Saccharomyces cerevisiae S288C: one gene and its partner. The protein of the gene in region 1 purifies or fractionates together with the protein of each later gene. This does not show direct contact. Each region holds a gene or a part of one and is shown on either strand. Other genes may lie near its edges. The genes, in order: DSE4 and ARA1.

Evidence for each region.
Region 2: the proteins of DSE4 (region 1) and ARA1 purify together in Saccharomyces cerevisiae (affinity purification with mass spectrometry, with the first as the bait; one large-scale study listed by BioGRID). This does not show direct contact.

What each region holds. Positions count from the first base shown.
Region 1 is NC_001146.8:742,605-760,688, forward strand, and holds DSE4 (endo-1,3(4)-beta-glucanase), read right to left. Parts: upstream 16,496-18,084; coding exon 13,142-16,495; downstream 1-13,141. Other genes in the region: YNR061C (uncharacterized protein), read right to left, coding at 277-936; PUL3 (Pul3p), read right to left, coding at 1,756-2,739; PUL4 (Pul4p), read left to right, coding at 4,339-6,162; YNR064C (epoxide hydrolase), read right to left, coding at 6,532-7,404; YNR065C (uncharacterized protein), read right to left, coding at 7,746-11,096; YNR066C (uncharacterized protein), read right to left, coding at 11,121-12,431; YNR068C (uncharacterized protein), read right to left, coding at 17,463-18,084.
Region 2 is NC_001134.8:535,892-552,014, reverse strand, and holds ARA1 (D-arabinose 1-dehydrogenase (NAD(P)(+)) ARA1), read right to left. Parts: upstream 12,029-16,123; coding exon 10,994-12,028; downstream 1-10,993. Other genes in the region: SLI15 (Sli15p), read left to right, coding at 1-911; HSP70/90 family co-chaperone CNS1, read right to left, coding at 1,087-2,244; DNA-directed RNA polymerase core subunit RPB5, read left to right, coding at 3,006-3,653; RIB7 (2,5-diamino-6-(ribosylamino)-4(3H)-pyrimidinone 5'-phosphate reductase), read right to left, coding at 3,821-4,555; U4/U6-U5 snRNP complex subunit SPP381, read right to left, coding at 4,764-5,639; APD1 (Apd1p), read right to left, coding at 6,037-6,987; TBS1 (Tbs1p), read left to right, coding at 7,522-10,806; YSW1 (Ysw1p), read right to left, coding at 12,310-14,139; RTC2 (cationic amino acid transporter), read right to left, coding at 14,550-15,440; mitochondrial 37S ribosomal protein uS9m MRPS9, read right to left, coding at 15,919-16,123. UniProt on the Saccharomyces cerevisiae protein: Catalyzes the oxidation of D-arabinose, L-xylose, L-fucose and L-galactose in the presence of NADP(+).

The DNA of each region.
Region 1 (18,084 bases):
GATGTGTAGCTAAGAATTAAATAGTAAACGTCTTCTGAAACCTTTTAAGAGGTAATTATTGGTATTCCAAATTCATATGTGGAGGTAAGGGAGACACAAAATTATCTGGAATGACAGCGTGCTGACACCTATAAGGTTCCGTAACTTCAAATGCCTTCATTACTCAACATAGGAAAAGTGAAAGTGTGTGCCTCTAAAATATACGGAACATCGTCGAACTAAAAAAATCCATTAAGCAAAGTCAGAAACAGCATGCACTACAAGACATTTGGTTCATCATGAAGAATGCTCAATTGAACCATCAATCACTTTCTCTTGTTCGATGTTAGCATTATCCTCACTATCAGTTGAATCCTCAATGCTTTCGGTTTCAGTCCTCGCATCTTCCTGAACTTCAAGATCTAAAAGAGGCTCACTCTCTTCCAGACTGGTCTCCAAGCGGTCCACGGTATCACGTAATGCCTTCACACAAGCCTTCAAAACAGATCTTGTGCTTGACCCATTTTCCTTAGCTTGAGATAGGACTGTGATATAAGAAGCATATGTGGTAGCGAGAAATAGTATGAATAAAACGGCTTCTGGTAAAATATCTATTTTAGCAATCTTACAAGAACCTGAATAATCAAAGTTTATACCCCGTGGCATACTTGAGCAGGACATAGAACCAAATTTTGAAGCTAGAGTTACGAAAGCGGTAAACCACAGGACGGTCTGAACAATTTCCATCACGAATATTAACAGAACAGGCAAAAATCTCACAATCCCAAAATAAACTGAAGATATGATTGAAACAGCTAAGCTCAATCTAAGGATTCGATCCACTTTATAGTTTGTGATTATGGCAAAACTAGCTAACAACAAGTTAGTTACAGATAAGCCAAGTTGGAAATATCTTAGTACGTGGAAAGTAACGGATGTTGTTGTTAACTTTAACATATATGTATTGAGTTATTATTATAGATCTTGACTTGGTAACAAAATATCAAGCTGTAAGCACCGCCTGTATTCTCCTATTTATGGTTGATTATATTTTACTTCTGTTGAACCAAGAAAAAAATAGCAACTCGAAAAGTCGCTTATTCATTCACTTTTTTAATTTTTTTACATATCGCATACGTAATTGGAAACACGCAATTTTAACTTTGGGCAAATACATAAATCATTTTGAGAAGTTGGTTTTTAGTCTCCGAGAGATTATAAACCAACATCCTTAAAAGATAGTATTCATTTCTCACCTGCCAATGCAAGAGCAGATATTATTCAGCAAGCAGTACAGCAAATCGGAAGCGAATTCCAATGACAATTTGCAGAATAAGATTAGAATAATATATTGAGATTAAAGAAAAGGTTATGCGAATTGCCTAACGTCTTTAACTTTGAAGCGGCCAAACTCTAAAAAACCTTGGTTAAAATACAAGCTTTGGCGTCCATGCAAACTGATTACATCATTCAGTATAAAGTGCCATATAAAAGAGGCACACACTTTTCCACAACTGGTTTGAATATAATAGAAGAATAAATCAGAAGGAAACTTTAAATATTAGTAATATTTATTTATGGCCGCTAAAAGATTAGTCCGGATATATCACTATAGAAATGGTAAAGATAATACACTATCATTTCCAAATGTAAAATTTGTTGATAGAACGCCATAAAAAAGAGGCTGACTTTTTGTCGTCCAAGTTCTTCGAAAAAATATACGTCAATGGCACCCGATATATAGCTGGATTTGGACCAGTATATGTCTAAGGAAATCTAACACCTTTTTTTCCTGAGCCAAATAAGCGGTGGAATTGAAACAGCTACCAAAATCATACCAAATCCAACCGCAATTGAAAGCCCCAATCTTGTGCCATAAAGAGCTGCTAATACAATCGGTGCCACCAGTTTACCAATCCCAGAGATTGCTCCAATTGAAGGCATCAACTGGACCTTGAGTTTGGGGTCGATGTACATGGAAAAAAGGGCTGGAATGCTCGAAGCCAAAAAGTTGTACCCTAACAATGTAATCGACATCCCAGCTGAAAAAAATATACCAGAATTTGTGGGTGGCATTGATTTATGCTTCAAGGCTTCGGATGCTCCAATCATAAAAGCTTGTCCCAGCAATGAAACAAACAATGCAAAGATGGACAGAAAAACTTGACCGCTGTACAGCGAATCTTTTTTCTTTACCTCAACGGTCTCACTTCCAGTTGTATCTGACTCTTCTAATCCGCCATCTTTGGCTCTGCCGCAGGAGCACCCGACGTTTATTAACTTTGGAGCGAAATAGCTTCCAGTCACACCAAGTATAGATGCGACCATAAACGCTATGCCTTGAAACTTGGTGTCCCAGTTAACGTGGAGCGTCAGGAATAGTGGCATAAAATAAACTACTTCGCTCATAATAAATGACGATAGGAACATGCTCCATAGTAAAATCAAGCAGGAGATGAGTTTTTTTCTTTCGACTCTAAAAAATTGTTTCAGAGCACTGAAAAGGCTATTTTCCGAATTTGTAACTTTAACCTCAGGATTTTCCAGAACGACAACTAATAAAAGGCATACTGCAAGAATTATGAAACTGGAGGCAAATGTCGGTGCATTGTAAGAGGCAATGCGATACCCTTTAATTTTAAAATCGCAATATCCAAAAAATATGACAATTAATTGTGCCAACGCCATGAAGATACCAGCCGCTGCTCGATAAATTGATAGAAGCTTGAAAACGATACCCCTATCTTGTGCAATTGACATGATGTAACTGAACACTATAGCACCAGAAGCAGATGCTGCACCACATATAATACGCCCACCGAGAAGGGTGTTTAGCGACACTGCACCGCCGCATGAATACAAAAAATTACCCACAAAGGATAAAAAGTAAAGCCCCACTATTACCCATTTAATGGACCCAAGAAAAGCAGCAATATCCCCAATAATGAATGAAACAAAAACTTGAACTGCTGCAGAAATGGCTTGAATTCTGAACAAGAATTTGTCCGGATTGGTTTCTCCGTTCTCTAAATTGTTAGCATACTAGTTCATTGAAATTATCTTAGATTTACATTAACACTTACTTCTTTGATGTAGTCAACCACACTTGAGAGATATACACAGGAGTCGAAACTGAATTGGACAGCTATCAAAATTACAGCCAAGTATTTCAAAAACATGTGTTTCTTGACACCTAAGATTTTTTTCATTTTAATTTATTGTACCACCGTCGAGTGAAATGGATGGATTTGTAATGCAATTGAGATACAATTAAGAAGAACGAAAGAGTACTTGACAACTAGAAAGTAATGTTAACTGATCTTTTATATGATGATTATTTATTGACGGCGATTCTTTTCCAGATTAGGAAATTTTGTTCCGCTTAGAATGGGATAGGCTTGTTTGGGCGCTATACTTCTGTATCAAAATAGTAAAATCAACTTATTTTAGTAATAGAAGAGAACAGTAGGCGTTTGGTAATTCTAATTACCTAGACTGTCCCCCATTTCCAGACAGCTGTCCCATATTTTTTTGAGATTCCGACGTCGAAGCGAAAGACTAGAAGAATAAGTAAAGTGGTCCTTTGTAAGCATAAAGACAAAGGCATGTGAGAAAAGTAAGTGTCTTCGCGATTCGCCGTTGTAAATATGTATCAGCTTTTTTTACTGCCTTTTCCTGGCGGATCACAGTAATGTATTTTTTTTTTTATATAATTCGAGCTCTACACTCAAGCATACATATATAGAATAGCTCAGTTTTAATGGGCTTTCTCGAGAACTATTCACCCAGAAGGATATCCTGAGCCTTATATTTAGATGTAACTTAGTAAAGTGAGAGTATTATGAATAACTTTTGAAGCTAACAAAATATCAGAAATTAAACTTCATTCAAGAATGTATTTATCTAGAAACTGGTCTTTGGCAAATGGCTCCGATGGCACACATGCAATGTTCTTGGTAAAAACTAATTTATTATTAGGCCAGTACAGAATAAAAGTTGTCATAAGAAAACTTCATTACATTTTATCTCCTCTGGCAAGTATCCAAATTCGAAAACCTCAGAAACCAGCGTTCCACCTAAAGTTTGTTTGCCCGTATGTTAAAACAGTAGCTGCCAAGTCACTTGAGTTTGAAGAATAATCTGATGCTTTTTACATAGAGGTCTATTAGGCTCTTTACTTTGTAAGCATCTCGACTTAAAAAAAAAATCTATTGTTTTTACGGGCATCGCTGAAAAACTGTGTCTGTTCTCTTTGATGCTGTCATCTAAGATTCAATTAAAGTCGACCATCAAGTTCCCTTAATAATATCCCTTGTGAGAGCTTAATCTAAAACTACAAAAGCGTTCGCAACAAGCAGTATGGACAGATCTAAGGACGCTAGAAAGAGATCTATTAGTTTGGCCTGTACTGTGTGTAGGAAACGAAAGTTGAAGTGCGATGGGAACAAGCCATGTGGAAGATGTATAAGGCTAAATACACCAAAAGAATGCATTTATAATATTGATAAAAGGAAAGACAAGAGAAAAATCAAAAACGGGTCGAAGGTTTTTTTATTCAAGAATAATACTATCGATAACGGGAATAACTCTATACTAGAGAACAAAGGACTAAATGAAGACCTTTCTTCTCATATATATGAGAAAGAAGCGCCAAAATTCGATTCAGATATTGATATATCAAGATTTGGCACAAATGATGCTGTGATTTTTAATAATGACGGGTGGGACACTTCTCTTCCGATCGATTTTGATTTCGATGAGTTTAACACTGAGACAACAGATTTCGATGACTTTTTAAAACTATTAGGCGATAATTCACCTTCAAAGGAACAAAAAAGTCTTTCCTATTCACCTACTGCTACAGGCTTAAGCGGTGTGGTTAAAGAAACTGAGAGCGAAGATAACGCTCCTACGAGGTCTCGGCTAATCGATGTCTTGTTTGAGAACAAGCTTCACTCCGTACCAGGAATATCAAAATGGCATCTATATGAGCTGGAATCCCAATACCCAAATTTGGAATGTACAGAAGGAAATAGTGATGAAAAGTTTTTACTTTCAACTGTATTGTGCCTGGGGTCGTTGACCATACGAAAAAGGGAACTATTGAATCATTCGAACATAGACAATCGTCCACTTTTGCCGGAGAATAGTATTTCAAAACTGACCACTGATGCTTTTAAGTACTATAATGCTGCGAAAACGCTTGTTCCCGACTTGTTATCTCATCCCACAATCGATGGATTTTGCGGCCTCGTTCTAATGGCAAATTTCATGACGATGATGATATCCTTAGAGCACCAATTATATTTGAGTATAAATGCTTTACAACTTGCTGTGGCTTTAAACTTGAACAACAATACAAAATGCAAGGAATTACTTGAGTCGAACAGCGACGGAATTGGTGTGATCTTGCTTTTTTGGAACATTTGGTGTTCTTCTTGCATGTTGGCAACAATTCATGGAAAAAATCCTTTTATCACTTTGGAACAAATTACAACACCTCTGCCGTGTGAAATATCCCCCCGCAATAAAACTAATAAACTTTTGATAGATTTCATGCAAATCAGAATCAAGCTAGCCACTCTACAAAGTAAGATTTTTCAACGGCTATATACTTCCAGCACCGCAAACGAGGTACCATTCGTAAACTTAGAAAGAGAATTTGAGGAGGTTTCACTCCAGATTACCAGGTTAAAAGGCTTTCCGATATTCGAAGAACATCTTTTTTACAGGAGCAGAGTCTTAATGTTAGAGCTATCATGTTTAAGAGCTCAAGCTTCTTTTCTATTATATCGTCCGTATCTGATCACTGGAGAATCCTTACAAGCAGTAACCATGGCAAAATCAATAATTCACGAAATATGGAGTCAATACACTAAACAGTTTCCCGATAACGAAAAGGAAAGGCATGAACGTTTGGATTGGAATTTTTGTTATCCTTTAAGAACAGCGTCACTGACATTATGTATTTCATGTATTATACTCCTAAGGTATAAGCAGGTGGTGCAGTTCCTTAAAGGTACTGAACTATTTGAATACATTCTAGCATTGGAAATATTGCAAGATTTAGTTCAGGTACTTCCTATTGAACAAAACCTTATTGATATAATCAAATATCCGATCAGTCCAGTACAGCTGAGTGGTGATAGCTTTGTCGAATTTTGGGGTCGCATACTTTACTAAACCGTTTCCTAGCTGATTTTTTGACACTTTATTCAGAAATGACCTTTTGAGATACAAGTTTACTAGGGGAAAGATCCATATGACATGGTAGTAGGTTTACCCTTCAAAACAACATAGATCGTAAAAAAGGTGGCTGAAGAACTTACTAAAAATGTTATATGCTTAGATTAATATATTGTCACCGGGCTACCAGTACAAACCCTTGATAATGCGACCAGACATCTGTTTTGACTTATTTATGAGCAATAATGGGTAACAAAAGAACGCTCTGAGGCAACTCTATGTGAGTCGAAACATATGTGTTTTTGGCAATTAAACAAAATACGAGAGATTCTTCTCAGAAAACATTGTCACAAGAACTTAGTATCTTTAATTTTCTGCAAACATACTGATGATTTCTTCGGCAATAGCAACTACGTGAGTTTCAAGCGCAAAATGGCCAGTATCATAGTAAACAACCTTTAAATTATCAACGTCTTTCCGATAAGCTTCAGCCCCGGCAACGCTAAAAATAGTATCATTCGCACCCCATGCAACTAGCACAGGAATCTTTGAATCTCTCAAGAACTTTTGAAAGGCTGGGTACAACTTTATATTATTCTGATAATCGAAAAATAATCTCAATTGAATATCGGTCTGGCCGGTACGCTGAATTAGCGCAATATCAAGCGTATAAGCGGCGGGATCAACAGATTCGATAGCTGGTACTCCATCATGGTACTGGCATATGACATTAGCTGGATCTTCAAGGTACGGGATAAGGGATTTAACAAATACCGGATCACTTTGATATGACTTCCAATATTCCTTCAACGGACCCCAAAAGCGGTCATCGAGACCCTCTTCGTAAGCATTACCGTTTTGAGTAACAATGCCAGTAATTCTGGAGGGAAACTTCAAGGCTAACCGAAAACCTACCGGAGATCCATAATCAAATATATACATGGCAAATTTTTCAATACTCAAAGTATCTAACAAATATCCTATACTTTCACAAAGGGAATCAAAGCTGAACTTGTAGTTTTCTGGCGTTTCCGTAAATCCGAACCCAGGAAGATCCGGAGCAATGATGTGAAACTGTCCAGCTAGTAAGGGAATGAGGTTCCTGAACATGTTGGAAGATGTAGGGAACCCATGTAGCAATAAAATTGTGGGGTTACCTGCTGCACCGGCCTCACGGTACCAAACCTTTACACCGTCTTGAACTTGAATCTTGTGAAATCTTGCAATGATATTTGACATTTTTGTCCTTCGTCCAATTCTGACAGTGAAAGAAAAGTGGTCAAGTTCAGTTAATTTGATCGTGCTTATATATGTTCTTTTTGGCTCCTATCACTTTTGGCTCCTATCACTTTTGAAATTTCTGTCACGATTATGTGCGGCGCAGTCCCTAGGCAAGTTACAGACGAATGGCATGCAGCGCCGTCTGTGGAAAAGATGAATACTGAATTATCATACCTTTAAATGACTATGTTAATAACAAAGGTGAATGGAGATTTAGAAAATGCACAATATTGAGAAAATGCATATGCGTACTTTTTGTTAGCAAACATACGATTATTTAGTCTATTAAAAAAATCTATTTACTCGTCCTCGTTGCGCACAGCAGTTGAATCAGGCTTGTGAATAGCACTACGTGCTGGCAATGCGTCTGGAATATTGCTAGTGGCAGGCTGGTCTATCTGTGACGTGTGCTCTTGTTCGGGTCTGTAAGCATCTTCTTGTTCAATTTCAAAATTACTGTCTTGACTTGTGAAACTGGATAAATCGTTAGCATCTTCATGCAAGCCATCTGATTCATCTGAAAACTGACCCTGAAGCAGCGAAGAGTAAGTAGGACCTTTTCTGTTGCCAAACCTTGCCCTTAATTTTGAAGAAAAGCGTGCTACACCTGCCTTCGTGCGTTGAAATGCAGACTTGGTAATTAAAGAAATGCATAATCCTAGTCTTACAATGATGTTGACAACTCTATCGGTCCTATTGTTTTCTATCAGCCCATCGTCTCCTAATCTTATTTCTTCAAATCTTGAAAATCCCCCATTTCTCCTGATACCTCTATCGTATACAAACCATGCGGCAAAGAAAATAACGAGAAGAATTGTAACAAAAACCAGCGCATAAGCGCCGGTGTTTATAGAATATTTTTCCCTGAATGCCTTTTCTTTTCCCGGACAAGGATGTGGTGCTAAATGTGCATCCAATTTCAGCCCACCTTTACAGGTTGATAAGGGAATTTTTCGATAGCCAGAGGAATCATAGTATTCAATTAAGTCGGGTTCCTTTTTGCAGATATCGGCACCATTCGCCGAACTTAAGCCTTTGACTAATTTACAAGTACCATCACTGGCTTTATAAAAATTATAGTCACATTCGAAATCTTGCCTCGTACATGAACAGTTTTTGACGTTCCTCGAAAATTCAGAAAGTGGAATATTCCCAATAAAACATTTTTCATCGGTTTTACGTAAAAACTCGGTTTGATGACCAAATAGACAACCAGTTCTGGAACCCAGAGGAGAGTACTTAAAATCTGCCCTTTTTTTACCCGTAATATCAAACTCACATTGCCTCTCGAAGATGTTTCTAAAATCAATTGTATACGTTCTGAATGAACCACTACCCATGTTTTTTGCTTCTCCAAATAGCAAAAACCTCAAAGCAGAATCTCTGGGAACGGTGATTATATCCTTTACGAGGACTTTGTCGCCACAGAATTTATAATCTTTCCATGTTTTACCAAAATCGGTGGAGTAAGAAATAGAATCAGTTTCTGCGTTTTCGGGGACCAAAACCAAGACTCCACCATGATCACCGTACTCCCATTGATGGGGGCCTTTTTTAACCTCAGTCCACGTCTCTCCTCCATCAGTGGTTAAAAAAGTGGAACACTCCTCATATGGTAGAAGCTTATCGCCAACATTTCCGACACCAAACATCATTCCTAACGCGGAACCGGAGGAATATGTATCCCTGATATCCTTACGTTCAGTGTAACCATGCAAATGTAGAGAACATTTATCTAATGATACAGAATCACAGGGAAACTTTTTCCCTTCCGAATCCTTCTTTGGAGGCTTCAAAAAGTTCCAATCTGAACCGTCATTAAAGGTGATTTTCGTCTTCAATTGTTCGTCTTCCTTGTTCTCTCCAACCTTTTCCCTATTCGAAACGATGTTGGTAATAATAATACCTTCAAGACCTTGAACTTTTTCAAAGTCGACATAACCGAATGTGTTTCTATTAACGGCATGCTCTAAAGTGACAAAAGAAGTACCATTCGAGTTGGATTTCAAAAGGTTTCCAAAATCGTGTCCTGATTCTAAGTTTGTTGCTAAATGTAAAAATATCGATCCTTTCTCAGATCCTAAAATAGTGAATGCCTCTTGCTTACTAACATCTTGACCATACGGGAATTTTGCCTCGGCAAACTCAGTACCATCAATAGTTACATATGCCCTCAACTCATTGTCTTCATGAGGTACGGCAACAATAATATAGCCACCAGTGGACAAGTAGCCGATAATGTTTTCAAAGATAATTTTATTATCACCTTGGAAAAAATCTATCGAAGAAACCAAGCTTCTTGTTTCTGAAGACTTCTTTTTTACTTGGCACATAACCATCTCCTCATTTGACGGATATTCAAAGAGTGTGCCTGCAAACTCACAATGAATTGCATTATCAAGCATTTCTGTAAAAGTTTCACCTCCATCTTTGGTGAGGTATGCTACTGCATGACATTCTGGACTTAAGATTGATTCACAATTCTTGCCACCATAGTAAATAAAAGTATCCTGTGCTTTAGCACTAAAATCTAGTGGCATACCTAATTGCCTGGCTTCAGGTAATTTAGCTATCATAAAAGAGTGTCCTCTATCGTGTGTTGAGAATATGTTACCTTTAGAGCCAAACAAATATGCTGAAGAATTGAAATATGGGTTAAACACAACTTCAACAATTTTTTCGCCGTTAGTGTCAAACCTTTTTATTGTTTGTCCACCATCGTGGGATATATAGGCGTCTCCTATCGAATTCAGCATGACCAAAGATTCGTCGGCAACTGTATCGAAGTATTGGTAAAATTTAATTTCGAAGTCAAATTTGTTTTCAGTGGTCACTATTTCCCTGTCACTCGAACCCTCCTCTGGAATTTCGTCACACGGAATATCAACGGGTTCAATTTTCATGGGTGTTTTACATTCATCACCTTTGATTAATTGTAATGGCTCTACTAACACAGATTTATCCTTCGATTTGTCACATATGTTGGAAAAGGCAATCAGATTATAATCTGGTATACACAGGCCGTTTGCGTCCCTAACAAATTCAAACGAACATTCGTAGTCGGATTCACCACAACTATTACAAGGCGTTTCATCTAAACTCAAATCTTTGAATGCTTTTTTTACCAAACACTGGGCGTCTTGTTTCCTCCTTCTATACTTGTATTTGGCGCCATTAACACATTTCCCATCCGCCAAATCCCAATCTTCAAAATCTTCCTCCTCACACGTTCTAGAGTCGAATGCTGCTGAAAAATCAATTATATACTCGACACCTTTTAAAGAAGTTATACTGTTGGTTTCGGAATCGGTAGTGGCAAACGTTCCTTTAAAAATAAATTTTGAGCCAGATCCATCTGGTGTTGGATTTATCAATTTGTAGGGATGGACAGAACTTATGGCATTGGTCAGCTCATATTCATTCCATGTTCTACCTTGGTCCAAAGAATAATAAAATTCAGATTGAAAATCGCCATCTTCCTCTGGATCATATGGGATATACACAATAATATTTCCCAGGTCACCAGTAGCATATAACCCAGAAGAATTATGAACAAATCTCCACGTTAAACCGCCATCTCTAGAGATGAAAGTTTTTTGGTCTTCCCAATCGAATTCACTACCGTCGCCAACGGAACCTGTCATTAACATAATTCCGGCAGTAGGATTTGAGATTTAGATACTATAAAAAGGGTTCTGGAGCGAACATCTTTCAGGCCTAGTGATATCACAAGGGAATGAATCTGCATTTTCCTCGTCAACCACTTTCAAATTTGACCATGTGAGGCCGTTATCAACAGATATTTTAGTTTCATATCTGGCTATCTTTTTATTATATTTTCCTTTGTTATGAGAGTAGTCAAAGGAAGGATGAAACGAGCCAATTATTGTTCCTTCTAAGAAATGAGGAGAAGCAATATCAATATAACCAAAGTGAGGATTTATTGTCCATTCAACAGGTAAAAATTTCAACCCTTGAGAATCTGATATTAAAATTTCTGAGGGAGCTGGTTGGTCGTTTTTTTCATCTGTGAATATCGTAGATATAGGAATGATTATTCTTCCAATAGAATCTTCATAAATTCCATACATATGGACGTGCCGTACTTGAGCAGGTAGACGTGCCTTTTGAAAAGTAGACGCATCATTGGATATCCAGATGTCCATGGGTGACATTTCATTGTATCTATCATCTTGTGTCGAAACGATTATATGTGATTTTAATATCTTGTATTGATAAATAATTTTATCATTAAACTCATCAAATTTTTTGAAAGTTTTACCTCCATCAGTACTTAAGGCTAATTGTGTATATGCGGCACTTAAGTGACGATCGCTATCGTAACCATGGTTCGAGAACAAACATAGTATCGAAGCGTCGTTACCCTCAATATCAGAATCCTTGCTAGATTTGACAAAGTTGCAGCTTGAACTTGTTATATGGTCATCTTCTTTCTTTTTCAAGGAAGGTTCGATATTGTAAAAGGATTCCCCATCGTTGGTAAAGTAAGTTTCATTTTGTATTTGGATATAACCATTGTCGTTTATAAAGCAAGGGCAATCTGCAATAAGGTACTTTTTATCTGTCGGATGGGTAGCTATAGAGCAAGAAGTACCCAAACGACAGTTTTCAGAGACGGGTATAGTCAGAGCCCTCCATGATTTTCCACGATCATCGGTGACGTAAAATTTGGGTGATAAATGTATCGAAACAAAAGCCCTGTCCTGTCCATGCAAAGGATCAACAATTAATTCGAGAATATGCCCTTCAATTTCTTTGACCGCTTCCCAATTTTCTCCAGAATCGGAACTTATCCACACGACTTGATTATCTAATCTGATTAAACTGTTGGAATCGTCAAAGCTCTCTAGACTAAATGAATATTCTGAAAGAGTCTCCGTTACTTTGGGGACGAATTCCTCTGCATTGAGTAACGGAATAAAGAGACATGTCCAAATCGTGCATATGACTTGGAGTAATATCATAATTGAGGATCTCTTACCTTTTCTTAGTTCAAAGCTTTTTTTCAAAGCTCGGAACTTTATGCTACGATTCAATGACTAAAAAAAAGGTAGCGGATAATCTTTTGGTTGCAAATTGGCGGCATTTAAATATATTTTGGGTTGCAAATATTCTAAAAATATTCTCATAATATTCTAAAAATATCTAGCCTAGGTAATTGCAATTATTTTGAGTCTGGTTATTTTGAGTTGACCATGTTCACTTCCTTTTCAGTCATCAAGACAACGTGTTTACCATCTAATGGGGAATCAAACAGATAAAACTAGAAACTGAGCAAAAATACTTTGATTTGCTAATGTCGCCAGTAGTACGATAATACTATAAAGATATGCTGTTGAAGCTGATATTTAAAGAATGAGAATCTCTAAGGGATCATAGTCTAGAATGGTATTCTGCAAAACAAATTTTAAATGGTGAAAACTTTTCCTCACTATGTCCAATTGATGCTTCTTAGGATGACGTTAGAATTTTATTTTAGTGCAGGCATTACCTTGCTAAGTTCATTCATTAAAGTACTAATATACCTCTTACTGGCATGCATTTACCTAAGTGGTCTCCGTTAGCCGTGGTCTTTTCGAACGCAACAACTTTCAAGTTAAGTAAAAATGATTTATTCTATAAAATATGTATGTAGTGGGAAAGACTCGACAGACCTGCTTGCCAAGTTCTCTTTCTAAGCAATTGAGTTGGCCAGTCCCCCTGAAAATGCTAATGCCCATGTGCGACTCATTCCGTTATCCAAATATGTGGATGAATCAAAAGTTGAATCACTGAAAAATGCATACGAATCTACTGGGTCGAAGAGTGCTTGATTCAGCTTCAATATGCCTGTCCAGCCGCTTTCTATCGATTCAATAATTGGCTCGATTTTAGTCTGCCATTCTTCTTCGACGAAAGTCTCAGAACGAATATTAGAAGAAACTGGTGTGATAGGTAGCATATGAATACCGTGGATATATTCTGTGTTTGTTCCAAAATAAGTAGTATAATCGATAATATTATCGAATAAAATACCACTCACTTTATTTCCTATGATTTCTTCAGGCTCAACTGTGTTGTCATTTTGATAATAGAAATAGTCGTTCATTGCATCCTTCATTATACTAATCATCAAGTCACCCCTCAATTCCATTGACTGGTCACCGATAGTGGCCCCCCATAACTTCATAGCATAGGCAAAATTGTAATCTTCACTACTACTTTCTTCGTTCTTACCGTTACCGTTTTCATAAAGTCCAGCTGCCCATGAATGACCGTTGAACCAATCAAACATTCTCGATTGTGCAAAGTATTCATCTTTTTCAGATGGATTTGCGACATCTCTTACCAATGAATTGACCCAATCTTTATTGTCGGCAGCCCAAGTACCATTCAGTTTAGAGTCAACATAGCCGATGACAGCAGCTGCATGAATAATGTAACCATAATGGAAATGATGGTCATTGTAATAAGTGTTACCAAAATCGTATTGCGTGCTGGTGGAACCCCAATCTCCTGAACTGACCAAACCGTTGAACTTTGTGTCGTAAATTAGTGGATACGTCTGTTCATTTTGTAGCAGAATATCAAAGGCCGATTTGATGTTTTCCAAAGTACTCTTAGTACTGGCTTCATCTTGGATGATTTCGGAGACCGTTAATAGAATGTAAGAATACTTATCGATAACTTTACCCAAATAATATGTGTTTAACCCGCTTATACTTTCGGAAATACTAACCTGTAATTCGGAATTGGCAACTTCAGCTAATAATTGCAATTGTTCTTTAGAATACTCTAAAAGGTTTGAGCCAAGTTGAGAAGACCATGGTAACCAAGATATTTGTCTGTTTAGAGATGTGGAAAATTGTAGGCTCGTTGTTAGATAACCGTTCATTACACCCTTAGTTGTAGAAGCGAGTTGAATGCCGGTATAGTAGTCTTGCATTATATCACTAAATGAAGATTCATGATGGGGCAAGGCAAAAATCATTGTGCTACCTGATGCCGACTCACCTTGGGTGGTATAAGAAAATTCATAGGTAGCTGTAGAACCGTCAGAGACACCCTGCAGCTTGAAATTAGTAACGTACATACCTGCGGCTTGATCATAAAAGACCTCGTAATCAGTTTCAGAAGGTGCGACGGCCAATTGAATGATAAGACCATCAACACTAGCGCTTGCTTTAATTTCATATTCTGAGCTCACCTCCAATGAAAAGTCCGTTGAGGTTAAATCGTCTGGTCCTATCACGTAACATAACCAAGTGACTCCATTCAAAAGGGTGATACGATATTTGAGAATACCCTGAGCTAAATTGCTTGATGATTCAGAAACAATGGTATTGAATCCGACGCTGGAACCAATCTTGGCATTTAAAGATCCATGATATATACCAGTTGCAAATCCCATACCTTGAACCAAAGGTATTTCCAGGTAGTTCGAAGAATCATTGGATTCTGATAGCACTACCCTTGTTGAAGACAAGGTCATTTCATCAACTTGCATAGTCATACTTGAATCAAAATTCGAAGCTGAGAAAACAACATGAGCAATTCCCAAAGGATTGACCAAATATTCTGCATTACCGGAACTGTCATAACCACCGTAGCTATATTGATCTACTGTTGTATGTTGAACAGCAAAACCATATGAACTCGAGGTGTACTTCCACAATGAATAAGGATACACAAAGGCAGGTGATTCCTGACTACCAACAATCAAATTTGTATAAAACTTGTTTGTTTGAATGGGACCATCGTTTGACACCCCATCAGCCAATGACATAGGATTTGGTGATCTGTCAAAAACAGTTGGTGGTTCATCTGTCGAAACAGCATTGAAAAGATTGACAATGGTCGTTGTTGAAGAGTTCTCCGTTGTGGTAGCGGTGCTACTGGTCGAGGTTGACAGAGAAGAGGAGGAAGTTTTTGTTTGTCTCGAAGATGAGGACGAAGAGATGGTAGCTTGCATTGAAGAAGATACATAAATGGTATCTAATGTCGAAGAAACCGGAGAGGAAGAAGAATCTACTGTTGAAAATAGTGATGACAAAAGAATGTTTCCTGTTGAACTCGATGGATAAACTGGACTAACAGTCGATGATAGTGATGGTGATGGTGAAGAACCGTTTTCTGTAATGTTTGAAGGGTAAATTGGACTAGTTGTCGAATATAGTGATACAGATGGAGAAAGAGTGATTTGTGTCCTATTAGATGGGTAAGCAGGGCTTGCTGTTGTAGATGCGAGCGTCTGGACTAAATCCTGGGTTGAGTTGGATGGATAGAACAAAGTCGAGGAAGCAGGAGTTGAAGCAATGAAGGAATCTTCGCCGGTAGCTGTAGCTGCATTTGTCCTTACTGAAATAGTATATATCGTTTTATTCGAGGTCAATGAAGAAGGAATAATTTTTGTTTCTTGGGAAGAATAGGAAGGCATTTGAGTTACCAGTGGATCGATTGTACCTTTTGAAACAGAAGTCAATAAAGTTCCATTTAATTGTGTCCCCGAAATAGATAAAGATGAAGAAAATAAAGTCGAAGTCGAAGTCGAAGCAGTTTGAGATAATAATGTGGTGACTTTACGCATTGTTGATGCACTTGGCATGACTGAGGCGACGCCGGAAACCGAACTCAAATTGTGTACTGAACTTTTGCTTTTCGAATTATCATTTGCGTAAATATTTGAAACAGTGACAGGATCATTATTGGTTTGTGCGCTTATTTTTTGAGATACTTGGCTTGCGTAGTTTGATAACGACAATGACAGTTGAACTGCTGTTCTTGTATTAGAATCACTGTCTTGTGAATTAATTGGAGATGCGCTCACTCTATTTTTTGGCGAAACTGAGAGAGGGCTATGAGAAGCTGCAGATACTCTTGTTACAACCACCGATTGTGCAACATAAGGCTCACCTACTGTCAAAGTAGCGTAAGATAAAGTTTCAATTAAATCAGTTTCCAATATTTCGTCTGCATTATTCGATATGAAACTTATATATGAACATTCGACGAAACTTAATAGAAAAAGAAGTGTCAGATATAATTGCATACTAGCTGTTTTTTTGTTTTCTTTTCTGTATGCAGACCGTTACTATGGTTATCTACTTGTTGAAACAAGCACAAGAAACATACTTGATATTCATTTTTGAAACAAATTGCACCAAGTATTTATATGTAGTCCTTTACCCTCGCTTGTAGTCTTCGTATGGTGTATATGCTTTGCTACTCTTTTCATACCCAGCTCTTATTTTTAACTTTTTGGGTTCAGCTTTATGATTAACTAGTTTTTCCTTGGTAACCAAATTGGGAGATTTCGTGCCTTTTCTGCTGGCTTTCATAACAAAATATAGCCGAAAAGAGCTTAGCGCAGCTGAACTCGGTAACAAGGTTCAGGTAAAAAGGGGAGAAAAAAAGAAAAGAAAGCCAGATCTTTCAAAAATATGCCAGCAAATACCAAATTGGTCATAAAATAGCTAGCACTCCGCTATCGAGCAAGTTCTCTTGGCAAGCAGGCTTATTCTATTCTTTTGCTGAAGGAAAGGCCAGTTCTATGCTTATAACCTTAAGTAGGAAACATATGCGCAGCTTACAGCGCATAAAATTGATGGCAACCCATTTAGTGGTACTATTCCTGCGTTATTACTAGTATGGTCGCTTTAAAGAGTGGTAAGATTTCACATTTTCAAATCTAAAAAGCAAAGTTTATCACTTGAAATGTACCTCTCTGTGGGCTTTCACTACCTTGTACATTTTCTTAGCAGTTCCGTACATTTTTTTAAACAATGAAAATTCAAAGTTCTATGTATAGAGATTATTTAGGTTTTTAGTACTTAAAGTATTTTGAGAATACCTTGGCAAACGCAGAACAATCGTAAAAGAGATTGCTACTGCGCACTGTTTCCTTGCTTTATCACTTTCAGTTCTGCAAGAACTAAGGTGTTTATCAGTAATGATACTGTAATATCAATAGCGATAAAAACTTCGTCAGTGAAACCATTCTTTTTAACAGCCATCTATCAAATAAAAGAGTTTTTAACTTGAACTGGGATATCAATTTCAGCAGATCCAACACCTTTATCAAAATGAAGTTTTACGCGGAGGAAATATGACCTCGAGCATAAACAACTTTCAAAACTTGGCACTATGGTAGCTTTAAAATCATCATTATATTTTATATTCAATAACAGTGTTCTCTTATACTCAGTTGAACTGACCTGATTCCATTCATTTGATTTCCGATGTGAAAGTACCGAATGGTGATAGTTTGATGGGGAGGTTTTTTTATTCCTAGAAGTTCGAGGAATTATGCTGGATATAGGAGAAGAAGCAACAGGCACACTTTTCTCTCCAACCAACTTCGTTTTCAACGCATTTTTCATGACAACAACATTGGCTTCCATATTGGCTAAAACCTGTACGTCCTTAATTATACTCGAAGGCATTAAATCAGAAAAATCGAGCGATCTATTACGCAGGCTAGCTCTTGCGTCATCGGCAAGAAGTAAGTTTATTTTTGTTTGATTTTTAGTGAACTCATCGCGATATGCTTCAATGTTTTCCAAAATTTCCTTAAATATTTTCTTAATTTCATTGTATTTGTGCTTCTTTAAAAGTAAATCACTGTGGAACCTCACTGGT
Region 2 (16,123 bases), on another chromosome or scaffold:
CACACAAAAAGCTAGCAATCATTGCAGAACAGAAAAAGAAGTCCAAACACTCTAGTGATGTTCATAAAACTGGTTCAAGACCGCACAGTATTTCTCCAACAAAAATAAGTGTCGATTCAAGCTCGCCATCTAAAGAAGTTAAAAATTATTACCAAAGCCCTGTAAGAGGTTATTTGAGACCAACAAAAGCGTCTATTTCGCCTAATAAAAATAAAAATTTAACAACGTCGCAAACGCCACATCGTTTGAAAATTAAAGAGAAAACATTAAGAAAACTTTCTCCGAATATTGCTGACATCTCCAAGCCAGAGTCTCGTAAATCCAAAAATTATCGGCTTACAAACCTTCAATTACTTCCACCAGCAGAGGCAGAACGAGATGACTTAAAAAAAAAGTTTGATAAAAGGTTATCAGGAATTATGAGGTCTCAACAGGAACATCATCGGCGTAAACAAGAGAAACAAAAAAGGATGTCGCATTTGGAACAAGATCTAAAAAAGCAAACAAGCTTTAGTAATGACTACAAGGACATACGTCTAAAAGAATCTTTGGCTCCTTTCGATAATCATGTGCGAGATACCATCAACAAAAATACTGCATTTAGTACCGACAATATATTGGCCACAATAAATACAGTTGACCATCGAGAAATAATCGGAAATGTGACCCCAAAGATAGCCTCTGTCAATGATTCTTTACCAGAGATAAATACTGATTCTGAAGATGAGGCTAGCGTAACTTTAGCGGCATGGGCTAAATCCCCGTATTTGCAAGAGCAATTGATAAGACAGCAAGATATAAATCCACAAACTATCTTTGGACCAATTCCGCCTTTGCACACCGATGAAATTTTCCCAAATCCTAGGCTAAACAGGTTGAAACCGCGTCAAATTGTGCCCAAAAGGTCTTGAATTCGATTACCCCAGAAAAGAAAAATTCAAACTGGTTAACATTAAATCAAGTACACTTTAAATACTCTGGTATTCCCCCTGCATTACGTATATCGTTCACTTTCTTTACTTTTCCTTCTTGCTTTGTTATTTCTATCTACAACTTTGCGTTACATATTTTTAACTATTTGACACTTCACACAGATCTTCTTTCTAAGGCTTTTTGCTTATCCCACTTGGAAATCCACCCTTCACTTTCTACCTTTGGCACAATATATATTTTCAAAGCGTTATCGAACAATGGTACATCTGGCGACTCTTTCTTCAAGATATCGTGAAATGTCAGTTTCTTACCAGCTTTAATCAAACCACCTGCCTTTGTTTCCATGAACACCAACACTTTCTTTGGTGTGAAGTTTTCCTTACCTTCTTTTTTGAAGCGTTCTTGCGGCCCTTCCAAAACTAGGTCAACAAGTTCTTGCACAGTAGTTAACTCACTTACTTCACCTACAAAATCAAATTCATCTTGCGTGGGGTACATAATTAATGCGGGATAGATCAATTGAGATTCAAAATCCATTGGGTCTTCTAGCCTTATTTTACCCTCATTAAGTAACTCTACTGGAGAGTGAGTTTTGATGTTAGTTATGTTTCTCAGCGTCATTGCGCTCTCTAACATAATTTTCTTGTTTTCACGTTCCTGAGCTTCTCTTTGCTGTTTTTCTTCTTTTGCTTTCAATTCTTGTTCTTTTCTATCAATCACTGATAACATATTCAAAATTGATTTGTTCTCTGGGTCAATCCTTTGATTGGCAAATGTTGCGGCTGATTTGGCCTCCTCCAACTTGTTTAATTGGAAAAAAGCCTTGCTTGTACGATAGTAGCACTTAACATTCTTGGGGTTAATAGTTAGAGCTTTACTGCAGTCCTCGATACACCTCCTGTAATTTTTCAGCTCTAACTCACATGCCGCTCTATTGGCATATAGTGACTCATTTATTGATTTATCTTCGCATTCTACAGCCAAGCCCTTTGAGTAAAGTTCCCTTGCATCCTTGAATCTTTTTGCTTTGTATAGTTCGTTACCTTGCTTCTTGAAATTTTCAGCGATTTCGTGTGGTTCGCCTTCATAAGCTAATGCCTTTAAAGCTTCTAACTCCACGTTTTCACCACCTGCACCGTCTGTTTCATCCAACTTGGTCATGAAAAAAGGCATTCTGTTCATTTCTTTCAAGATTTCATCCGATGTTTTATCTTTAAATTCGGATAGTTGGGGTGGAAGTTCAGGATCACCTGGCCCTGGCACATATTTTTGTGGTTTGGTATATCCTCCATTTGCGTTAACGGAGCTCATTCTAGATGCAAAACCAATTTATTCTTTTCTTTTACTTGCTAGAATGTAGTGCTCAAGACCTCACTTTTAATTCAATGCTGCTTTTGAATTTAAGCTCATCGCTCTGAAAAGTGCCGGAAATTACACATATTCTTTTTTTCTTTCTTTTTTTTCCACCTTTTTCCTCACTGCGTTAAGAAAGAGATGAGGTGAAGTTATTTTGTTCTGTGTACTATAATCACACATTACACAGTTTTCTGTGAAACTGTACAAGGTGCCTAAACAGAGATACGAACGCATACGCTTTTAGTATTTAAGTCTTTAAGCTCATTATCCGCACAAGTAAACTTGAGAACACAGACTCTCTACATATAAAGTGCCAGATATCTTGGTAATGCTCGGTAGGTGGATTAACGTACTCTTATCATCAACCGAGACTAGAAACCGTATCAATAATTTATTTTATATAGAGCAGAGCATCTGATCGCTAGTTAATATGCAAGCATTTAAAATTAAAGTGGCAATGTATTGTTGTTGTCCTCTATTCGACTCCTAACGGAGGCCTTTTTTTAGCAATGGCTGACCGCGGAAGGAAAAATTTTTCTTTTCTCTTGAAAAATTTTCAATCATATATATTATTCAAAACGACGCAATTCGGTGAGGAAGATTACAAACGTTGCTAACAAGGGTCAACAGATCACGAGCCAATTTGAATTCAAATTAAATTAGTAGGGGATTTACAAAATTTGTGCGCAGGTGGATATTACTAATAAGCTAAGACAATGGACCAAGAAAATGAAAGAAACATCTCAAGATTATGGAGAGCATTCAGAACAGTAAAAGAAATGGTTAAGGACAGGGGTTATTTTATCACTCAAGAGGAAGTCGAATTGCCATTGGAAGATTTCAAGGCCAAGTATTGTGACTCCATGGGCAGACCACAACGTAAAATGATGTCCTTCCAGGCAAATCCAACAGAAGAATCTATATCAAAGTTCCCAGACATGGGCTCCTTATGGGTAGAATTTTGTGATGAGCCTTCCGTTGGTGTAAAGACAATGAAGACTTTTGTTATACATATTCAAGAAAAAAATTTCCAAACAGGTATCTTTGTTTACCAAAATAATATTACACCAAGTGCAATGAAATTGGTGCCTTCTATACCACCAGCCACCATTGAAACTTTTAATGAAGCTGCCTTAGTGGTTAATATTACTCACCACGAATTGGTTCCAAAGCATATCAGATTGAGTAGTGATGAGAAAAGAGAGCTTTTAAAAAGGTATAGATTGAAGGAATCCCAATTGCCAAGAATTCAAAGAGCTGATCCTGTAGCCTTATACTTGGGATTGAAAAGAGGCGAAGTAGTTAAAATCATAAGAAAAAGTGAAACCTCTGGTCGTTATGCCAGTTACAGAATCTGTATGTAGAGTGGCATTTGGATTTACCCCTTTCATATAATATAAAATAACAAGAATATGTACAATTAGAAATAAATAATCTGCAATAAACCAATCACTAGTATGAAAATTTGAAAGGCGCGTTTTTTTCACTAATTTCAGAAAGAAATTACACAGAAGGTGGAGTTCTAACACTATTAGTCATCGGCCAGTCTCGCACAAAGCACCACATCGGTAATGCCCTTCCACCATGACATATCCTTTAAATTTACTGTTTGGGGTGGGCTAACTTCGGTGCCTGAGCTACCCAGAAATGTTGATCCAATAGTTATTATAAGACTGTTGACAATATCGCTCCTCAGCAACAACTGATTTATTACATTGGCACCTCCTTCAACCATTACTGACCTTATATTGAATTCTTCTTTTAATATCTCAAACAATTTCTTCCAATCGACCAATTTCGTAGTATCATTTATTGGACAAATTGCGTAGTCTACATGTTGTTCTTTTATAATGGGCTCACTTGTGACAACAACGATTGGCGGCTTACCCTGTCGTTTAATAAAAAGTTCTTGCATTTTTGAACCATCAAATCGCCACTTTTGCTTTGTATCTATTATTATTGGCCTTGGGGAATTTGCAGCCGGATCGGGACCCCATTTACAATTCAATCCAGGATTATCAGCTAGCACTGTTCCACTTCCTACGAGTATTCCATCGTGATGATGTCTCAAATAATGCGTCATTGTTTTGGTCTCGGGATGTGAAATTGTAGTCCTCACTCCAGGGCCCCTAGATACTCTCGCGTCGAGCGATTGAGCATAAGTTAGTGTGACAAAGGGCACAATGGTATTTTCCGTTTGACCAGCATTCGGTAGATAGTTTTGCAGAAATTGTGGTAAATCTTCACACAGTGGTGTCAAAGACATATCTTCTAAAAATGTTGATAGTAATACAAAGAAGCTACCAATAGGTTGGTACTGTATTTCTGCTAGATTGTTTCATCGTATCCAAAGCCAGATGTAATGGTTCTGCGAAAAAATTTGATATCTTCATCTTTGCCTCTTTTTTCTGTTTCGGGATTTTCCCGACATCAACTAACTGAAAGGCATGTGGGTTTGTGTGTGTGATGCGGTGTTATATAACCGAATATTCAGTTTCTTCGTAATCTCTACTATTCTTGCCTAGGTCACCAAATTCAACATTTTTAGTTCTTGTAATCTTGTAACGGTTGTTATTGTGAGATTTTTCTACTTTTTCAGCCGATCTTTGTTTTTTGTGATCAAGTTTCTCTTTCTCCTTGTCCAAGATAACGTCGTATTTGGTATTCCCATCTTTGCCTTTTTGCATCGCTTCAAATCGTTTTGCCTCATATTCTTCTGATTCTCTTTGTTTCGCAAGTTGTATTCTTCTATGCTTTTGCTTTCGTTCGTTCTGCCTTTCAAACCATTTCTGTCTCTCCTTTTCTGAATCGACTTCATCGTTATCATCTAAGAGCAAGCACTGCTTGATCAATTCTTCGTTGGTGCTGTAATTGGTGTTAAGTCTCAGCTTCATCGTTTCGTAGTTCTTTGCCACTTGATTAGCTTTGTCGATGTTTTTTATCATATTTTCCTTCTTTGTTTGCAGAACTCGTGCGTCATCTTGGGCATTCCAGGGTTGATCTATCTTGGTAGCTTTCTGCAAATTATTGGCCTTTTTCTTCATAAATAATGGCCTCGGTAAAGGTCTCATATCGTCACTATCGCTCGAATCACTGTTGTCGCTACTTTCTTCACTTTCGGGACTCTCATCACTTTCGGGACTCCCATCACTTTCATTTGATTCTTGGCCATCATTGGGGGTGCGGTTCTTTCCTGTACCATTTAAAATTTCGCCGCCCAAATCACTATGGCTTAATGAGGCTGATTTTTCTGTTAGAGATACGTTTTGGTCTGGATGCTCTTCATCCGCCGAAGAGCTTTCATCTGCTGAGCTTGTGTCAAGTCTCCTCTTGAAATGTCTAAAACTCATCGTATGTGATTCAAATCAGTAACCAAAAAAAATTCTTAATCTAGCGGTGGCGGTAGAAATCTGCATTTGTTCTTTCTTTACTGGGAACAACGAAGAATTGCTTTTCTCAATATATGGCGAAATATTGCATGTTTGCAAAAATTATAAAATGAAATAATGAGCAGCAAGTGGAAAACAGAAAAAAAATCAGATGAAAATATGAAATGGATTAAGAAAATGGCCAAAGAATCTTTCATGTATGGAAAGTTGAAATACAGGATCCCTTTTGCAAATAAAACTTTTCATTATCATCTTAGCGTTATAAATATATATGCGTGCTTTAGAACTATGTACATTTAAAAGCTACTCTGATGGCAAATTTTATGGCGTCAAAAGATTGTATTTTGCTGGCCAACCTTTACCAGCTTTGATATTTCTTAATACAGCGAACTTTTTCGGGAAACGGCAACGTTGGTTCTTCAGGAACAATCAGATGTTCGACAATAGAAGGAACTATGGTTGGAGTTACTCTTCCCAACCAAATTAAGGTATTTGGATTTCGTAAATAAATTTGAACATTTGCAGCAAATTTGTGACCACCAACATGATTAACAAATGCAATTTTGACACCCTCTGCCCTGTAATCCGAATTGTCCCTATACAGCCCATGTTCCTGTAATTTACTGTCAAAAACTTTCTTTAAATAGGGTGCCGTAATCCCGCATCGTTTATCCCTCGTAGTATGTGAACATATAAATACAAATGCACGTTCACGTGCAACGGCAACATTTGGTCGTGTTTCTAGCAATTTCTCTCTTGAAATATTCTCGTCTAATAAGTCAGGAACTAAACCATCCAGCGTTGCTTCGACGTCATCTGATCTAAGGTCGTTCAGCCAAATGAAGTAAGGCAAAATAAGTACATTATTCTTGGTTCCCCGCATAACATCAATATCCATGATATCTTTAGGTAAAGATGAAACTGCACAGTTTAGTGTCTTGCCTGTGCCCACGTTGGAAAATTTAGCTGAATTCTTATCACACCACTGGGAAATTTTATACTGTACTGACTTTGGGTCCTCGAGGCAGGCATCATGCTGCCAATCGATTTGAGAGGTGGGGACAACGAAGTGAATTTTTGGCGTTTTAGAAGAGTTCAACAAAGGAGTTTCATGTTCGATCTTTAGTTTCGCAAAGGCCTGCTCTCCTTCTTCAATTTCTGTTTTGCAATCACCAGAGCAGCTATGTTCGTTAGCAGCATCGTCACTTTTGCATATCTTAATCGATTGAGAAATTTCCTCCCGTCCCTTTGCGCTCAGTTGTGAAGCTTCATCACCACGTTTTTGCTTGAAAATATTCAAAAAAGCCATAATTCAAAGGACAAAGAAGATATCTCTCTCTTGGCCGCCTTCTTGCCTCCTCCGAATATAGCCAAGTACTTTCTTTTCTTATACCTCGAACAGAAAGAAAACCAGTATGTTATACTACTATTCGGTTAGAATTTCAACTTTGCGTTATCATCATATGATCTCAACAATATAAATAGAAGATATCATCAGCGCCAAGAGTGGAACTCTCCCTCTCCTTGCACTTGTTTTAAGAAACTTTTAGCCCTTATTTCCATCTTTATTTCCGCTTTTATTTCCGCAGCACCGGTGAACCCTCTTTTTTATACCTTCAGAATTTTCTTTGCACCTAAAAAGTTCAAATTGCCCTTTAAAAAATATTTATAATACCCTAAAGGGTCCACATTTTCATTTTGACCCTACTCCGCCAGAAAATGTTGATTTATCATGCCTATTTTCAGCCACTGCCCAAAGTCTACTTAAAATAGAGTAAACTTTATATTACGACTACTCTTTTTTAAGTTAACAATGATTACAAGCCCAGCAGGAGTTGTGTGAATGAATATGGATTCTGGTATTACAAGTAGTCATGGAAGCATGGATAAGACACAAAAGCAAAGTTCTGAGTGGGCAGCTAACCAGAAACATAATCAAAGAGTCGAAAATACAAGAGTTTTAATGGGCCCCGCTGTCCCTGCGATGCCTCCAGTACCATCAAATTTTCCGCCTGTTCCAACTGGTACAATAATGTCGCCTCAGTTGAGCCCTTTTCCGGATCACCGTTTAAGACATCACCCATTAGCTCATATGATGCCTGCTGATAAGAATTTTCTGGCATATAACATGGAGTCTTTCAAAAGTAGAGTGACTAAAGCATGTGATTATTGTCGGAAGAGGAAGATTAGATGTACGGAAATCGAGCCGATTTCTGGTAAATGTAGAAACTGTATCAAGTATAATAAAGATTGCACGTTTCATTTCCATGAAGAACTGAAAAGAAGGCGAGAAGAAGCTTTGAATAACAAGGGAAATGGGAAGTCGGTTAAGAAGCCGAGGTTGGATAAGGAGAATAAGTTCAAGGATGAAAATTTTGATATCGCCGTGCGATCAAGAAATACTTCTTCTACAGACAGCTCGCCGAAATTACACACCAACTTATCACAAGAATATATTGGAGTTTCTGCCGGCAAAAGTGCAAGCGATAAAGAAGATACTTGGCCTGACTTTGTTCCTATTGACAGGACAGTGCTTGAAAAAATTGAACTCAACCATACGAAGGTTGCTGGGAAAGTTTTTGTTTTGGAAGAGATTTGTAAAAACATGAAGGGAACAATAGAGAAGCTAGCTGAAAAAAGCAAAATTGACGTCATTGATAAAGAATACATGAAAAGGCCTAAAAGAAAGCAATATTCAAAGGCCTTGTTAACAAAACAAAAAATGTTTCATTTTCGACAAAATGTTTTATCACATTTAACTGACGAAGAATTTCTTTCGCCCATTAATGAAATGTTTACTACTACTTTCAAATATTCTATTTTACAGACCAAGCTGGTCCTGGACTTCTCTTTCCGATCCGCATCATCACCATCTAGTGATAATATTTTGTATCCTCTGCCCCGTTTAGCAATTGCAAAGCGTTTGCTCAAAAATATAAAATGTCCATCATTAGCCTCTCTTCTCCACATAGTGGATGTAGATCAATGTTTGCAATTTGCCGACGTGCACTTTGATCCTGCTAAAGGAAGATTGACATCATCACAGGCATTTTTGCTAAATATCTGCCTCTGCCTTGGGGCCACCGTTACAAATTTTGAGGAGAAGCAGGAGCTAGTTGATGAAGATAATCATGAAACCTATTATTTTGAGAAGTTCGAATTATGGAGACTCAGATCTTTCACTTTTCTCAATTCTGTCTATTACTACCATAAACTGTCTGTAGCACGCGCAGATATGACGGCATTAAAGGCATTACTGTTACTGGCAAAGTTTGCCCAACAAAAAATAAGTGCTTCATCAGCGGTCAAAGTACTATCCGTTGCTATCAAAGTGGCTTTGGATTTACGGCTCAATTTACATTCCACCTATGAGGATCTAGAACTTGATGAAATCATTAAAAGAAGACGCTTGTGGTGTTATTGTTTTTCAACAGACAAATTCTTTTCTGTGGTGTTGTCAAGACCGCCCTTTCTCAAGGAGGAAAACACTGATGTATTAACAGATGAAAGCTATGTTGAACTATTCAGAGATAAAATTCTGCCCAATCTTTCTATAAAATACGATGATTCAAAACTAGAAGGGGTGAAAGATATTGTATCCGTTGTAAACTTACTCGCGAATCACCTTGAATATGTACCATACATTCAATCATATTTTTTGTCGAGATTATCCCTCATAGAGTCTCAAATATATTACTCATGTTTTTCCATCAGAACAACTTTAGACGATACACTAGATGAAATCATTGAAAATGTACTGGAAAATCAAAAGGCGTTAGATAGAATGCGAGACGATTTGCCCACCATATTATCATTAGAAAATTACAAGGAAAACATGAGGATTTTATCTTTGGATTCTTCGAAGTTAGATTTTGAAGTGAGTTGTTGTACTACTATTCTATTACACCTCAGATGGTACCATCAAAAGATAACCCTGAGTTTATTTGTCATATCCATCATTGGAGATAACTTAGATCAACGGGAAAGTTCCCGGCATGATATAGCTGAAATTATTAGAAGGTCAAGATTGGATTTCAAGCGAAATTGCATCGAAGTACTTAATATTTTGAAAGATTTTGAATACTACCCTACTGTTCAGAATGAGTTTCTGTATTTTTCTCTCACAACGGTTTTTTCCATGTTTCTGTATTTGTCAGAGATTATGGTTAATGACGAACATGCCATGGAGACTGGTTATATAATTGGATTATTGAGGGATACACATACCCGTATGCTTGGATCTGAAGAACGCTGTCTTTCAGTACACAATCTGAAGTGGCAAACATCTCTTTTTTTTTACACTTTTTTTCTACGGAGTACGATGGAAAAGTTCAATCTGACAAGTAAATACGCAAAATTCTATGCCTTTGATTCAAATTATTATGAGGGTGTTCTCAATAGGTTAGTTAAGCATACGAGAGAATCAAAAGATGATATGGTCGAGCTCTTGAAAACTTCGTTCATAAATAAAGAGAAGATGGCTGCATTTGGTAGTTTCGTTACAGAGGACCAAGAAAAAATGGAAGTGTCCTTCAATATTTTCAATGAAATAACAATCCAGGATTTGAACTTCTTGCAATTTTCAAGCATTCCGAAATTGTGGGAAAATAAAACTCTTGAGCCAGGCGAGGAATATCATCATAGTAATGGTACCAATACTGATAATAACGAGACTACTGGCGCTGATGATACTGACGATAATAATAATAATAATAATAATAATAATAAAAATGGCAATAATAGTAGTAGTACTATTAATAATAATAACAATAACTACAGTAACAGTAACAATAATGACAATGACAACAATATTAATGATGATGATGATGATGATGATGATGATGATGATGATGATGATGATGATGATGATGATGATGACAATGATGATGATTATAGTAATAATGGTGCTGATGATGATGAAGAAGACGATGACTATGACAGATCTTTATTTCCAACAGGTTTAGCTTCGCTGCTTGATGCGTCATATCCTGAACGTACGGCGAATGATTATAGAGATGAGAATGAACAATCGAATAAATTATTCGAAAAGATTGAAGGCCATTTGGAGCACGGTGTTTTTTTTTACGATCGGGATTTCTTCTTCAAGAATGTGTGTGTAAAAATGTAATATTATATAAAGGACATTCGAGTAATTTAACTAATACATATGCATACGCGCGCGTATGTATTTCAGATACTTAAAAACTTCAAATCACGTATGAAAAACATATTGTTTACTTGAGGCGATTACACAATATCTTGTTTTTGACAAGATTAAGAAGCGAACTAAATAAAGTGAAAATAAAGTCGTTGTCTTAATACTTTAAATTGTCCAAGTTTGGTCCGTTACCAGTAAACTCTGGAAGGATGGCTGCAAATGGCTCATCGATGAATCTCACTGGGTATTTTTCACCGAAGTCGTTCAACTCTTGTAATTCATCCTTTGTCAAAGATGCGAATTCAATACTCGAGGAAATCCTAACTGGATTCAAGGATCTCGGAATTACGATAGTGCCTTGTCTAATATGGTAAGAAATTAGCAAGTCATTTCCTGTGACATTGTACTTTTCGGCAAGCTTTTTCACTAGTGGGATTTTCAAGTTTGGTGCGCCATGGGAACCTAATGGTGAGTATGCTGTTAACAGAATGTCGTGCATAAAGCAGAACTTTCTTAGTTCCATTTGTGGTAAGTGAGGGTGAGTTTCCACTTGGTTCACCGTTGGCTTAACTCTGCATTCCTTAATGAGACGTTCCAAATACTCAATGGAAAAATTTGAGACACCAATGGCTCTCACACGATGATCGTTAGGATCAAGGTAAATTTTTTCCAATTGCTTGTAAGTTTCTAAATAGTCACCGTCGGCAGCATACATTGTTTTTCCAGAATCATCAACCGGAGTCTTCACCAGTCCGCTGATCCCCTTAGGGTCCTTAATCTTTTCAAAACATAGCGGCCAATGTTGCAAGAGCAAGTCGACGTATTCCAAGCCTAAAGCTTTCAAAGATTCATTCAATGATCTGTCCACTTCGTCCCATAGAACCGGCCACACTTTTGTGGTTATGAAAAGATCCTCCCTTTTGATAGATCCATCTTCTAATAACTCCTTGATGGCTTCACCTACGAATGGCTCTGTCTCGTAGGCCCAAGCAGTATCAATGTGCCTGTATCCAGCTTTGATTGCAGCTTTTACGGCTTGTTTTGTTTCAGCTAACTTTTCGTGAGGATTTGCTGTCCCCAAACCCAGTGCTGGGATACGAACACCATTGTTGAGTGAAAAGTATATTTCTGTAGTCTTTGGATGCAACATATTTTCGACTATGTTTTCGGTTGAGGCTACTGAAGAAGACATGATAGCAGTTGATTAAAATCAAGACGCTTTTATCAATTGAAGGCGGAGATAGTGCAAATAAGTCCAGATGCTTGATATCCCCCTCTTTCCTTTTTACCCCTGTATTACGAGGCTCACTTTATATATTATAATTTTTCCAGGCGGAGGTAAGGGTAGAGCGGCTTTTGGTGGATTTATAATCGGCAATAAACGAGTTTTTAAGCGATCTATAATATTTTTATTGAGTGATAGTTAGATACTTAATGATTATATACTAGTAGCATTTTCAGTAAACGAAATTGTTAAGATGTTAAGGTGGAGGCGCCATTCTTGCTGTCTTTTATCAACTTTGTACTCTCTTTTTTCTTCAAATGTTGCATCAGTGTTTTGATATAGTTATCCTTATCTTGTAGCATCATTCTTAACCCACCTATTGTTTCCTTCTGGAAATTGGCAGATCTCTCGTAGAACCTGAAGTTCATTGTCAGTTGGTCGATTAAGGAGAAGTTGATGTTTGCGAACAGAGGGCCCAATTGCCTCTTGAAGCTGTTTTCTTGTAAACGAAATGAGGAGTCTTCGAAACAATTTTTCATGTTTAGCGCACTACAGCAGGTTTCAATCTTTATAATATTATCGTCGTTTTCCTTCAAATCATTGCCATAAACATTGTGGAATTGCAAAACCTCGCTGAGGCTTTTCAGTAATGTCAAAAACTGGTCGATAGTATATCTATTCAAGTCTAATCTAACGCTGTCAGCCCTTACCTGTTTTTTTTTTTTTTCAAGAGATTTTTCTAAGCCAAATATTCTCTTTTCCAAGTGTTTTAATCTATTTTCATTGTTTCTCGTTTCTCTTGGAAGATATTTCGAGGGTTTGAATGTGGATTGCTGTAATTTTTTTGAAGTTTCGTTGACGTTCAGTTCTAAAATGCCAGGACCCATATTGGATTTGGTAATCTCCTCATTTTCGTTTTCATCCGTAGATATGTACTCATTTGTTTTATTATTCGTACTTTTTTTTTTCAATTTGTTCATTTCCAATATAAGATCATTGTTTTTTTTACTAATGGATTCAAGGTTGTCTTTCAATGAGTTAATTTCCTGCTTATGTTGGAGATTTTCTTGCTTTAATGTTGACAAGTTCAAATTCTCCAATTTTAACTTTTCCAACTCATCTTGCTTCTCTTGTGCGTGCATTCTACCCTTTGAAATGTGGTTAGTAATACTTTCTATAACGTGGTCGCTCAATTGGTCGAGCTCTTCCTCCCAAGATACGTTTTGTTTCCCCCCTGAAGTCAAATCAATATCAATGTTCATAGTAGCCAATTTTTTGTTCAGATAGTCAATCACATGTCTCCCACCTTTGTGAAAATCATTTTCTACTGTTATATTAGGCTGAGATGTAAATGTGTTTGGTGTCTGAAACACAAATTTGTAAGGACCTTCAAGAACATTCTCCGGTGGAGTAGCAGGAGAAAATTCATCGTCACTGTCGTCGCTATACTCTTCAAAACTTTTTTCATATTCCTTTTTCAGACCTTTATTCTTAGCGCCTTTAGTCAAGCATTGATCCTTGGAAGGTATTTTCTCGGGACTTTTTGATTGCATAACATGTGAGTTAGCATCAGTGAAATGAGACTCATTCTCATCATCAGAAGAAAGTTCAACGGGCAATAGTAAGTTATTTTCATTCCTGAATTCTTTCACGTCATTTGCACTCTTGAAAATACTGTTTCTGATTTTTTTTGTGAAACTTCCTTTTTGGATGTCATGGGAATTTTCCTTTTTTGCACACTTATTGCTAGTTTTCTTCCAAACTAACGCATCATCTTCATCTTCCAACACAGACTCGTCCTTATTTGAGTTTGTTTGTTTGAAAAAAGATCTAACTTTTCTTCCTAGTTTTCTTTCTTCAACAGATTTTTGTGAGTTTTTGTCATTTAAGTAGACATCATTGACGTCATCTTCAACTCTATCTTCGCAACTATTTTTTAGGTCTGCTGTCGGTTTTAAAAACCAGTTTCTTAATGTACTATTTTTCTGTAAAATACCAGTATCGGAGGTTAATGCATTGTTGGAAAATCTGCCGCGTTTGGCCTCGCTACCCTCTACTGTATCGGCTAAGCTGGACATGATGTTATGTTCGTACGTATCCTTATATATGTTAATACACCGGTGCAATAACTTCTCTTAAAATCCTTCAACCTAGTTTTAGCTTTTTTTTGTTTTTGTTGGTGTGATTAAGTTAAAAAAATTATTAGATGACTACAGTGAATAGTTGAATTTGTCCCCTTCCTGTCACTTTTTTTCCTCTATGGATAGAGACCCCACCCAGGAAATGGCATTACTCGTTTTTGTGTTATTTTTTGTGTATTTTTTCAGACGCGTGTCAGCAAAGGGCATCGCCAAAATAACGACTGAGCCGTGATGGCGCTAGTAATTTTGTTTCCTCCATAAAATGAAAATACTAGTTCTGGGCTATAGCCGATGCGCATATGAGTAAGTTTGAGTTTTAAGTGGAAAGATTAATAGAAGCCAACTAGTTAATTATCTATTAGTATTTTCTCGTATTTAGGTTTGGCGTAAAGGAAAAATTGAATAAAAACTGTGAAGTCCATCAACAGCGTACCAGCGCTACCGATAAGCCAAGATGCTGAGAGCACTGAGATTATGAAAGAAGTGTTCCCTAAGCATGCAAATAAAAAGAATAGGAATGAGACTCCTTCGCATGATTTTCTTTTGAAGTTAAGAACAATCTGAGGGATCCTAGAGCCCAAGTACAGTATCGCACTTAAATACCCTAAAATTTGTGCAGGTAAATTAATCTGTTCGAACGCAGGTTTTTTTTTAGGAATACCGTTATCTAGGCCGGAACAGTAAGATATATACCATGACAAAATTCCGGCAATAAGTACACCTGAAACAATTAAGAAGTCATTGAAAAAATTCTCTCTTTCCTTTACGACTATTGTTCTGCCAAGCTCAAGCGAGCTATACGATTGGCTATCTTCTTCTTCTATCCTTGGCAAAAGTGGCTCATATTCATTAAAAACGTCTTGTAAGACAGTCTCATTTATGGGGTTTGCTGGAGGCAAATGCACAGGATCAACATTTTTCTTGACTTCTTGTAAAATGCTCTTCTTCTCCTTGTCATACCACATGCACTGTATTAACAAAATTAAATCTGCCAATGTATAGTAAGCAGCTAAAATTATCATGGTTGGGAGTAAATTTTGCATCATAGCTCCCATGACGTTAAATATATCACCTAATAGCCACAACACAATGAAAAGCAGTGATAATCCCTCCGCAGACTGTCTTCGGAAGTTTTCATAAATCTGTGGTACAAACACAACAATCCAACAGCATATTGATATGGATCCAGCCATCCCACTGAGATTCTTAGCATTCAAAATAATTGGGATCAGCTTCATGGCAGAAATTTAGGGATGCTCGCTTGAGGCTATTACGTCTGGGTTATAACAAAATATTGTGGGATATTACAGGAGAATAGTTTATTTATATGCCTGAACCCGGTGTTATTTGTAGTATTTATGGTTTATATTATGACTCTTTTTACATGTAACGGTCATAGTAAAATCTATTCTGATTTGCATCTTATCATCTCCTTCTTTTTTCCAATGGAATTTGAGTCATTGCTGCAAGGCCCCTTTGCTTTGCGGGTGAGAGGAAAAAAAAGATGAAGTATTATGTGCAGTAAGTAGAAGAAAATACTAACTGAGCAATATTCGAATACATATAACTTTATTTACAGGAATAACGAACGAGAGTTGTGCTTCTAATGCTGGGCGGCGTTGTATGCAAAATATATAACGTTTCTTCTGGCATGTGTCAAAAAACTCAGAGCACGCACGCTTCCGTTCGAAATTGAGGTAACAAGATGCACTAAGACTATCTCTTGACCCATGTTGGCATCTTTCTTGCCTTCTTTTTTCCTGGCTTCTTTCTTTCGACGTGCCTGTAATCTCTTGTTAAGACGCCAGCTTTATGTAGTCTGGATTTTAATAATGGATTGAACACAACCAAAGCTTTCGCAATGGCGTGCATGATTGATTCAGCCTGACCCGTAGGTCCGCCTCCAGACGTTGTCGCAAAA